2 linked regions of the Neodiprion lecontei genome follow. The protein of the gene in region 2 purifies or fractionates together with the protein of the main gene of each other region. This does not show direct contact. Links are inferred from orthologs where the notes say so. Each region holds a gene or a part of one and is shown on either strand. Other genes may lie near its edges.

The links.
Region 1: the proteins of CCAAT/enhancer-binding protein (region 2) and mRNA turnover protein 4 homolog purify together in Homo sapiens (affinity purification with mass spectrometry; 3 studies listed by BioGRID and IntAct, with this or other methods). This does not show direct contact. The link is inferred for Neodiprion lecontei from reciprocal best matches to the Homo sapiens genes CEBPA and MRTO4.

What each region holds. Positions count from the first base shown.
Region 1 is NC_060261.1:34,236,487-34,240,469, reverse strand, and holds mRNA turnover protein 4 homolog, read right to left. Parts: upstream 2,345-3,983; 5' UTR 2,166-2,344; coding exon 2,138-2,165; intron 1,938-2,137; coding exon 1,633-1,937; intron 1,529-1,632; coding exon 1,292-1,528; intron 1,003-1,291; coding exon 850-1,002; 3' UTR 791-849; downstream 1-790. UniProt on the Homo sapiens protein: Component of the ribosome assembly machinery. Nuclear paralog of the ribosomal protein P0, it binds pre-60S subunits at an early stage of assembly in the nucleolus, and is replaced by P0 in cytoplasmic pre-60S subunits and mature 80S ribosomes.
Region 2 is NC_060262.1:42,523,300-42,529,682, forward strand, and holds CCAAT/enhancer-binding protein, read right to left. Parts: upstream 4,775-6,383; 5' UTR 3,849-4,774; coding exon 2,715-3,848; 3' UTR 820-2,714; downstream 1-819. UniProt on the Homo sapiens protein: Transcription factor that coordinates proliferation arrest and the differentiation of myeloid progenitors, adipocytes, hepatocytes, and cells of the lung and the placenta.

The sequences.
Region 1 (3,983 bases), on a different chromosome or scaffold from region 2:
TGCGTCGAAAAGTTTGAAATAGCACTCTGATATTCAATTCAACCATACCAGAATTCATTTCAGATACTATACAAACAGTACCATTGAGATTTAGTCATTTTTCAGCTACACTACAAAAACTGTAGATTACTTGCTAAATAAAATTAGCCCGATACGTCGTTAGCTCATTGTGACTGGTGATTGCATTTCCGTTGTCCTCATTATCAGAAATGTCCCATGATTCTACAGAAGTAGTACTTCGTTTTTTATGATTATTTGCTGTGATTTTGAATGCCACTCTTTTAGAATTTTCACAACTAGATTTTGGAACAGTTCCATTCAGCCAATGATATATTATCTGTTGATTAACAAGATTAGATCCGATGATTTCTCACATTGGTATCAGAAATTGTAATAAAAAGTTTTTTCAAAGTTTTATACACATAAAAGGTACAATTTCGTTTAATTATTTCACTCACCCATGTCATACCGACGATCCAAAATATAGTGAATCCTAATATGCAACTCATTATTCATTGAATGAGTATGTACAATGTGTAAATATTGTGTATTATTTGGTAATAATATTTTTCATTAAATTTATCTTGATATTTGCACTGCTGACGAGAGATTTCAAAATCGTTTGTTTCTAATAACTGCATGCTTTTTTTTAGCAGGATTTCAAGGACTAGATTGTTTTGGAACATGCATGTTTCCTCGGCGCATTGCTGTCACTGATATTCTGGAATGTGAGATAAGAGAAAAGAATTGTAGGTTTTATTCACAAACTCAAGAAATGATAAACCGCAAAAATGGAAAAACAATTTTTTATTCAATATGTACATTTTTAGGTCATTTTTAATTCTGATTTCAGGTATCTGTTGTGTCTTCTGTTTCCATCTCTACATTGTCATCTTCATTATCATCGTTATCATCTGTAGCAATTGGCATGTATCCTTCACTCTTGACAAATACCCCAAGAGGCGTTAACTTGAATGTTGCTAATACCTTGCCAATGAGTTTCTGTAAGAAGGTACAAAAATAATGCTCCATACTGAATTCAGTAAATTGGTACTTTGTAAAGTATACACGTAATTCCACGAGAAATCTTTTGTGACATGCATGGGTGGATTTCAGTTTTTCTCAAATTTTGTATTGGATTTCATTCATGGAAAATTGAGGGAACTAGCATTAAAATTCCAGAAGAGCAAATTGAAAAAAAAAAGAGTACATAACCGAAGCCTTTGAGCTTTTTATAATGGAATTATCTATATACTTGAAAACATCTGCTAAACAAATACAAATGTTGTACCAGTATTCTGGCTTGTTCTGGAGTGAGTGTCTGGCCCTTTTTGCAAACTTCGTGATCCTTGAGCAATGTTACAACTCCCTTTTGAAGCGATGTGGGAAGTCCCAACTGCCTCAAATGTGGTTCTATACTGTGTGCAAACTCTGGCATCGGTCCCTCAGGTATTGTTATTGTCTCATTTGCAACAAAACCTGAGCGTGCATAATCCTCTTCACCATATTGTTCCATCCAGTCCAAGACCTGTCCCAAATAAAAAAACCTTTAAAAATACTGAAATAATTATATGATATATTTGCTTAATTCATTTATATATTTGTATATTGCCATTTTCATTAATCAAGTACCTCATCCTTAGGTCTGTTGGTGAAAAGGAGCCCACATTGGCCTTTGAGAGCGGCAGATAATTTGTGTATTTCATCTTCGACTTCTTCCTCGGGAGATTTGCCCAAGCCAAGCGCCATGATTTTGTTTTTACCAAAAAAGAACCTGCTATCCTTCCATTCAGCCCGGATGTCCTTAAGTTTGTTATTTCTCATGTTTTGAACGGAGAACAAAAAAATGCTGTTATACTTTGTTACACATTTACGGATGTCTTCGACGATCTGTTGTTTCAGAACCAGTCCCTTCTTGCTGGTCTTTGTAAGTGTGACTGAAAATTAAAACGAAAATTTATCATTTTTCAATAATTACAAGAACTTGTTAGTATTAGAGAATTTTTTATAATTCCAAATGCAAAATCAGTTACGACTATCAAGCATGTATATATCAAATTATAGGTTATGTGCAAATAATATCTGGACAACGGTTCAGATTTCACTTGTGCGATAGTGTTTGAGGTGATTTACGTACTTTTCTTGTCTCTTTTGGACTTCGGCATCTTTCACTTTCTGTTTTTTCAGACGGTCTGATTACTTTGAGGTACTATTTAAAAAACAAACCATGTGCTAGTAGCACCGGTTCGAATGTCACGCAGTAAACAGTCAGGAGGAAACGTGGACGCCATTTTGGTTACGTTGAATTCAACTTCACAATTAATTCATTTTTATTCAATTTGCAAGTGCATCGGTGAGGTATTGTGTATGTCAATAAAATTTTCGAAAATTACACAAGATGTTTATCGCACAAGGGTTGAAAACGGTGCGCGTATCGAATGAAGATAGGTTATGATCGATGGTAGGGGAAGTGTCTAATCGAACGTAGTCTAAAATGGCGGTTTCCGGCGGTGAGCGGCAGTGCACTCTGTGAGATCGTGTTAGACGGGAGTCGTTGAAATTCGCTGAAGCCTTGATTTTCCAGGCGACTTTCTGCATTCAAAAGGTGAGTTTTAACCAAAAATGTATCGAAACCGAATCCTCGCTAACCGGAGATTCCGTGCATACGATAGAAGTGTTAATTTTATGCTAAATGTGCGCAACGTCGTTTGCGGGCTGTGTGAACCCCGTAGCAACTAGAGATGATGGAAATTTTGGAAAGCGGCTTCCACATCGAATAAACGAGCAGCCATACAGATACTGACGTCGTGCGCCTATCACTAGGATAATCGAGCCAGTCAGTAATGACGGCATTTTTGATTTTCCGTGTCAAGTAGACGGGTTAAATCTTCCGGTTCGAGATCGTACCTAAAGAGTAAAGGCGATAGGCGTGAATGTAGCCGCGGAGGGTACGGCTCGAGTGACGCATTTAATAGGAGTGTCTCAGGCGCCAGGGGCGCCATTTTGCCATTTTGCCAGGTTGCCGGCGAAAAAAATGTCCAACTTTTTCACATGCATTTAACGTATCCCTGTCTGACAGTGCTCGGGCATTTCACCGTTTATCGACTGTCAGACTATCATTAACCACGTGCTACCGCCGTTCAATACCCGCATGTCAAACTGTCATATTTTACTCGTACTATGAGCGATCATTTTTTAAGAATTTAGCTCCTTATATGGTCATGAGAAATCGGAGATGTCCTTCTTCTATTTCCCTCTTTCTCGCCAACCGCTCGCACTTTTTTCTCCAATCCTCGATTCGTGTCCTCGGATTTTTAAATCTTCGTAATAAACGGTGTACCATCGTTGTCGTTTCGTCATACCTACTGTGCAATTATCCGCAGCCACACGTAGTTGTAGCTTGGTAGAAGTACGTCGCATACTTGACCGTGACAAACGCCTACGACTAGGCACGCCCTTTCTCTCATCCAGGTGGATCGCCTTATTACGTACTTTAATATCTCAATCCGGTCTTCAAACCTCCAACAGGCCTTGTTTCCCTTTCTTCCCAAACTGAACTTCATTTTTAGTTCAACTTTTACGATCATGTAACAGGAAAAAGTTTTAACGATCACACGAAAGGATATAGAATGAAAACTGCGACTAAATTAGTTCTCGTCAATTATGTCTACTGTGTCGGTAAATCTTACCGTGAGTTTACCTGTACGAGACTGATCAATAACAAATGGGAACTAATTAGCCCCGCTGTTATTGAAATCGATGGATTGGAATAGATATTATCCGCATCGCTACATGTGACTTAAATTCTCGTTGTAAATTCACAAATATGCGGCATTAAATCAATGTTCACTTACATGTCGCACCAAAGATCTATCGGATTCCTGGCAGATCAATCTTTGGCACAGGTCAACGTACGTACAGCACAATGTAACAAACAACGGTCAAAGAAATTCTTTGTTAGCTTCATAGAAGTTTAATTTTTA
Region 2 (6,383 bases):
CGAACGTACGTTGTACGTGCAGTGTTTGAAATTAGAAAATCACTCGACGTGGTTAATTTTGACGAAGGATAATACGGAATGCGTTGATTGGGTATGGCAAAGAATTATATGCGGAATATTGTATGAGTAAAAAAAGGCGTTATAAATTTTATATCAAAATATATTTGTGCATATAGACAATTATCAGATAAATATCTATATATGATATACATATATATGTAAATATACATATTTATATATAAGTATTACATATATATGTATGTGTATAATAGACAACCGTACACCGTAATCCGGTTAATCTCGGCGCATAAATATCATATACGTTGTGAATATACGTAAATACACAATGCATGCTTAAAACGTACGGTGTAGAATTTGTATACATATACATGTATGTATATATATGTATGTATATATATATATATGTATACTATTTATTATACGCACGCATTCACAACGAATATGTCTCTTTACATTATTGTTACATAAAATAAAATATCTCAATCGCTCTCTTCCTATCTCTCGCACAATCAACCGAATGAACAAATGAACAAATGAAGCCTGCTTCACACGTTACGGTAACTCAATAACTAGACCGCGTTTGAGCCAACGTTTATTGTTGTACATGTGAGTATACTATATACACGATACTGCAGACGATGGCTCAAACACATGTCTAAATAAAATACGTTGTTACGATAAGTATATATTTTCAATAATAATATTAAATTCTCTAATGAAAATACGTATTAAACTTTCTATACATTACATAGTTAAAATTATTTTACGCTTAACATACGTATATATTAAATATACATATACATATTTAATATATATTTTTGTATTTCATATGCATATGTTTATGATTATAATACAACAGGTTATTATGGGATGCGGATAACAGACATATAGTACAGTGTCGGATCGGGGGCTTAAGATAAAACTGCTTAATTATAAATACATTAAATTTCTATCGATAGAGCTAGTACAGCATATTCGGTAACTATTATTTACGACAGTGATGGTAATAATATTAATATTAACAATAATAATAATAATAATAATAAGAATAATAATAATAATAATAATAACGATGATGATGATGATGATAATATGTATCAGTAGTAGTAACAATAACAACAACAACAACAACAAATATATATGTCGTTATTGTTATTAGCGTATGATAATATCTACGATCATAATTAACAGTTACACATCAAACATAATGATTACGATTCTTATACAACTTATAATAATGACGATAATCGCAATTTAGCAGAATCTCATACGTAACGACGGACCTATGTGTACATGAATTGCTTGGTGTTTTCCGGCGTATCGGTGTGAATTTATGATATACAGTATAGGATGATGTGACTGCATATATAAATGTCAAACAAATGATCATGTCGACGGGGCATTTACGAAAAAGTGTGTAATGATAATAATAATAATAATAATAACAATAATAATTGATATAACAATATTATATCTATCAATAATCATAATAACGTAATAATCGTACGTAATCACAACGCCATGAACGGAATATACAACGATGTAAATTTGTTACAATACATGAATATATATATATATATATGTATGTATGTATAAAAATTGAACCGTTGAACCAAGTATCTTCGCGCAGAGACGACCCGATCTTACGGGACGTTTACTTTCTTTTTTTTTCTAACGTAAGATTAAAGTGGATATAGGTTATAAAACCAAGGTAAGAAATGAATATTACGGGCTGCTGGCAGCGGTCACGTTGCATCGATATTCCGCACGACCGTTTGACAACCCCACCGTTGATACGCGTATAAGTAATGGGTACACACACAGGCAATTTCATCTTGAGTATAGAAGACTGCAGTATGTACCTATGATAGAATGGCGGTTCTGTAATAATCAAATGAAAGCGGAGAAGGCCGTCGTCGCCAGTTTTCAATGCCCACGCAACTAGATTGATATACCAGGTAGGTAGGTAGGTAGGTAGGTAGGTAGGTAGGTAAGTAGGTAGATAGGTACAGGCTCACGGGAACTGTGTAGGTGACGATGCCCCATTCACGCATATACACGTAATTATGTGGGTAGATATGCATAATAATGAAATGTATGTACAATTGCAATACCACAATTATACTGCACAATTATACCCCACAGCATTCATATTGTACATTCAACGTATACGCGCGTACCACGAGGATTCTGTGAAGCGTTCGGTCAATCGAGAGTGGTTAACGCGAAACATGGTATCACCTAAACAGATTCAACTTTGCCTGCCTCACCTGCGAATCCTTTCGGTTCACGCGAACTGTTCGCCGGGTCGTAATGCACACGCAATACATGGACGAGGAAGCTCGTATACCTGTAGTACATACAGTCATGGCCGTCGTAGTAGGTGTATAAATAATGTAACTGTTCTTCGTTAAATCACTGTACATATACATATACGACTATACGATTGTTCGTTTAGCAATTTTCGCTTATTATTACATGAATATGCCGCAGTTATTGACCGACGACCGTGCGTAACGGTAAACGTGGGTGTCGCGCGACGAATCGGGCCCAATTTCCTGCAGCTCTATTCCTCGGAGTCTCCTCGAATAGCTACTCGTTCCCTGGGGACGGCGGAGCGAAGAAGCCGGAGCTCGAGGGCCGAAGCAACGAGCTTTGCATGGGATTTGACGGGAGGATCGCGGGAGCCGCTGCTACATGGGCCCGACAGCGTGCTGTTGGAACTGATCGAGATGCCTCGAGATCTCGCGCTGTAGCTGCTCAGGTACCACGCCGACGCTGCTGAAGAGCGACCTGAGGACGCTCAGCTCTTCGGTAAGGAGTTCGATCCTCTTTTTGAGGAGGTCGTTGTCTTTGACGAGTAGTTTCACCTTCTCCTCGGTCTCCCTCGAACGGACCTTAGCCTTCTCGCGGCTCTTCCTCACCGCAATGTTGTTCCGCTCCCTGCGACGCCGGTACTCGTCGCTCGCTTTGTCGATGCTCTTTGACTGTTTCCTCGCCGCTGCCGCGGCCGCGGCGGCCGCAGCATGCTGAGGGTGCTGGTGCTGGTGTTGGTGCTGGTGCTGATGGGGGTGGGGGTGCTGGTGCTGGTGCTGGTGCGACATGACGGGTTTCATGGGGACCCGCGGCTGCTGGTGACCCCCGGGGACCGTGCTGGGCGTCAAGGTCGTGAAGGTCGGCCCCCCGTTCGCGAAGGGACCGGCGCCGTTCGCCGGGCTGTAGGCGCCGGCACCTGCGGGGTACTGAGGGCAGTGACGCCGATAGTCGGCGGGGTCGAGGGGCTCTTCCTTTATGCTGGGGGACTCGGAACTCGAGCTGTTGCTGTCGCTGCAGCTGTTGCTCCCTTGGTGATAGCTCGCGCCGCTGTGTACGGGCTGCGGCATGTAGGCGAGCGTCGTTCGCCCTGGGAACCCGGCGTTTCGCGAGTGCTTCATTCCGTTGGAACCTGGGCCTCCGCCTCCGCCGCCGCCGCCGCCGCTGGCGTTATTCCCGTTCCCGTTACCGCCCCCCAACATGTCGAGGAGTCCATCGTTGAAGTGTGAATCGTCGATCAGATGCTGAAGATCGAGCGATATCTCGGGTGTGTTGAGGTCCGTCAGTTCGCCCGCTGCCGCGCAGTGCTCGGCGTACTGCTGGTTGAGGGTCGCCTTGCTCGCCGACACCTTGTTAACCCCCGTTCCGCCCGTGCCGCCGGACTGCTGGTTGTGGTTCACTTGAAGGGCCGAGTTGTTGTTCAACACTTGGGAGGATTTCTTAAGGTCCGCCGGAACACCTTGGGACTGCGCCTGATGCGCAGCTGATTCGTACATCACCGGTGATTCCATCATTGACAGACTATTCGAACTTCACCGATCTTCACTCCCGCATAATACCGCGGACTCAAACTCTTCCAAGTCTCTTCTCGTACGCCGATGCGGAACGCACGGCCTGCTACTTTTCTCCCTCCTTGTTATATATACGTATAAATGTATAACACATAAAAGCCCGGTAACTTTCAAATTAACAAACTGTCACTTTATCAAAATTCTTGAAAACCTCGAGTATGCGGTGGGATGTTCACTTGCGTATGTGCGCGCAATATCGGTATACAATAGTTCGCACGTATACTTTCTTGTTGTACTGACGAAAAAAACCCTCCTCACCCCACGGCAAAGATTCACCATGTATACCTGACGTATCCGCTCCTCGCTGCACACTGTTCATCCACCGAATATCTTACACGCGAGTATCTCGGTCGTGTTCGACGACGACCCGCCTCCGCGATAATGTCAGTCGTAGGAGGGAGGCGTAGGCCAGGCTCATTCACGCGCGTCTCACAAGAATTAGCCCGCGTATTACGTGTTTGTTATTAAATTGCCCGGAGTTGAGGAACACGTGTGAGTTATTGCCCCCGGCGATGAGTCTGTTATCTAGAGCCAACGGTACGGGTACATTTCGCTCTTCGGTTGCTTTCAATTTCATCGGATAAGTGTCCGCGCGTATGTATTTTTATAACTCTACTCTCGCGCTCTTTTAATGTTCCTTTATTTTTAACTCCTCTCCTCGTTCGCGTATATAATATACATAACAGGGAGAAGCGTCGCACGAAACCTGACTTCTTTATTCTTATTTTTTTTTTTTTTTTATCAACAGCGCCAACGGAGTCCGCAACGTGTAGAACCACGAGATAAAACTCACGCACGATTCGAGAGTTGGCGCGCGACTGAATACCGTGGTAACATGGCGCAAGGTTTCAATGCGCTCAAACAGCGCGCAACTTCTCGGCGCAGCCTTTGGCTCCCCGAGTTCTCGCCTCTCTCCGCGTCGAGTCCCAGCCCCCCACCCCGTTCCCCTGCCCGCCCCCTTCGCCTCTTCGCCCATGCGGGCAGCCCTCTCTCCCGCGATCCGCGCCGAGCGGGAAAAGTTTGCAGTCGCCTTTATTGTACGCTATTTATAATACTCGACAAAATCCACTTGATGCCTGCTTGCCTGCCTGACTGCCTGCCTGCCAAATCAGCCGAGTCAGCCAGATGTCAACGAAATCGCCCTGCGACACTGCACCGATACTGCTGCGTTCCACAATTTGACGACAATCGATCGGACTAGCCGCTGCTGCGATCAGCAATAATTATCACGACTGTCGAACTCGACCCTGTCGTGAACGTGGTATGCCTGGTATTAGATGGGTTGCATTCGAGATCGCGTGCCCGGTATACCGTCGCGTAAAAATTTTGCCTCGATTACGCTGAGAGTACTCGAGGTTTTAAATTCGGCCTGTTCTTACGATTATAGAAGCTGCAAACGCCACGGCCGAACTTTTTGTGCCGCTCAGGGAAGTTTTCAACTACGGGTGTAACGACGCAGAGTAGAACGATAGACGGGAAGATCGTTGTTGACGAATTTTCATTGCAAAAGGGTTGACGCTGATTATGCACTAAGATTATACTAATATGTAGCGTCATTGCGCAAGTCTGTTGTACCTACTCTATACTCTAAAGTGACATATATTCAAATGTATAAGTAGATATGTAATAGGTACACTAAGGTTACAGGCAGTGTTTATTCAAAGCATTTGCTACTCCACGAGGCACAGCATGTTAGTACCCACTATACGGGTAGACCTAATCGAATTCTTTGTAATATACCTATATTACACCCCAATACGACGTATATGTCGTACGAACCTTATTATACAGTTAATTCGTATACGTACCCGCTTGCGTTCCATTGCGCAATTCTGTGATAAGTTCGGTTATGGACTGCAGTATCAATACCGCGCACGAGTGAGGAAAGACCCTCGGATTCGATCGCGTTTTACATAGATATCATAGATATACCTAGGTGTATATAAATCCCTATATATATATATCCCTGCGACTTGCAGAGATCAGTAGCGTGCAGGGAGATAGATTCCTCCTCGTCATCCGGCTCGTGCAGCGCAGCCCTTTGACAGCGCCGGCTAGAGATCTTCCTCTTTCGTCGGACTCCACCCTCACGTGGGCGGGACTCTGCACCCTCCGATAACACGCGATCAGCCGTCGCATCGGCGAGTCGAGGGACACGATCCAGCCCATTCCAAGGAAGCCACACCCACGGGGTGGCACGTCGGCACCCTGTAGCTACTTGCATTGTCTTCAAATGACGGATATTTCAGTCGCTACAGCACGATGAAGATAATGCTGATTGTAGGCAAACGGAGTTCAGCTATTGCGCACAGAGACGTTATATACCTATTTGTTGGTAGAGTGCAGTTACACGGTACACTTACTGGACCTAAGAACGTGCTCGGGCCTCCATGAAATGATTTATAAATACGACTTATCGATTATTCGCGAGAATGAATTTGTAGGAGGAGAAAAAAGAAAAAAAAAAAGTCGTCTGAC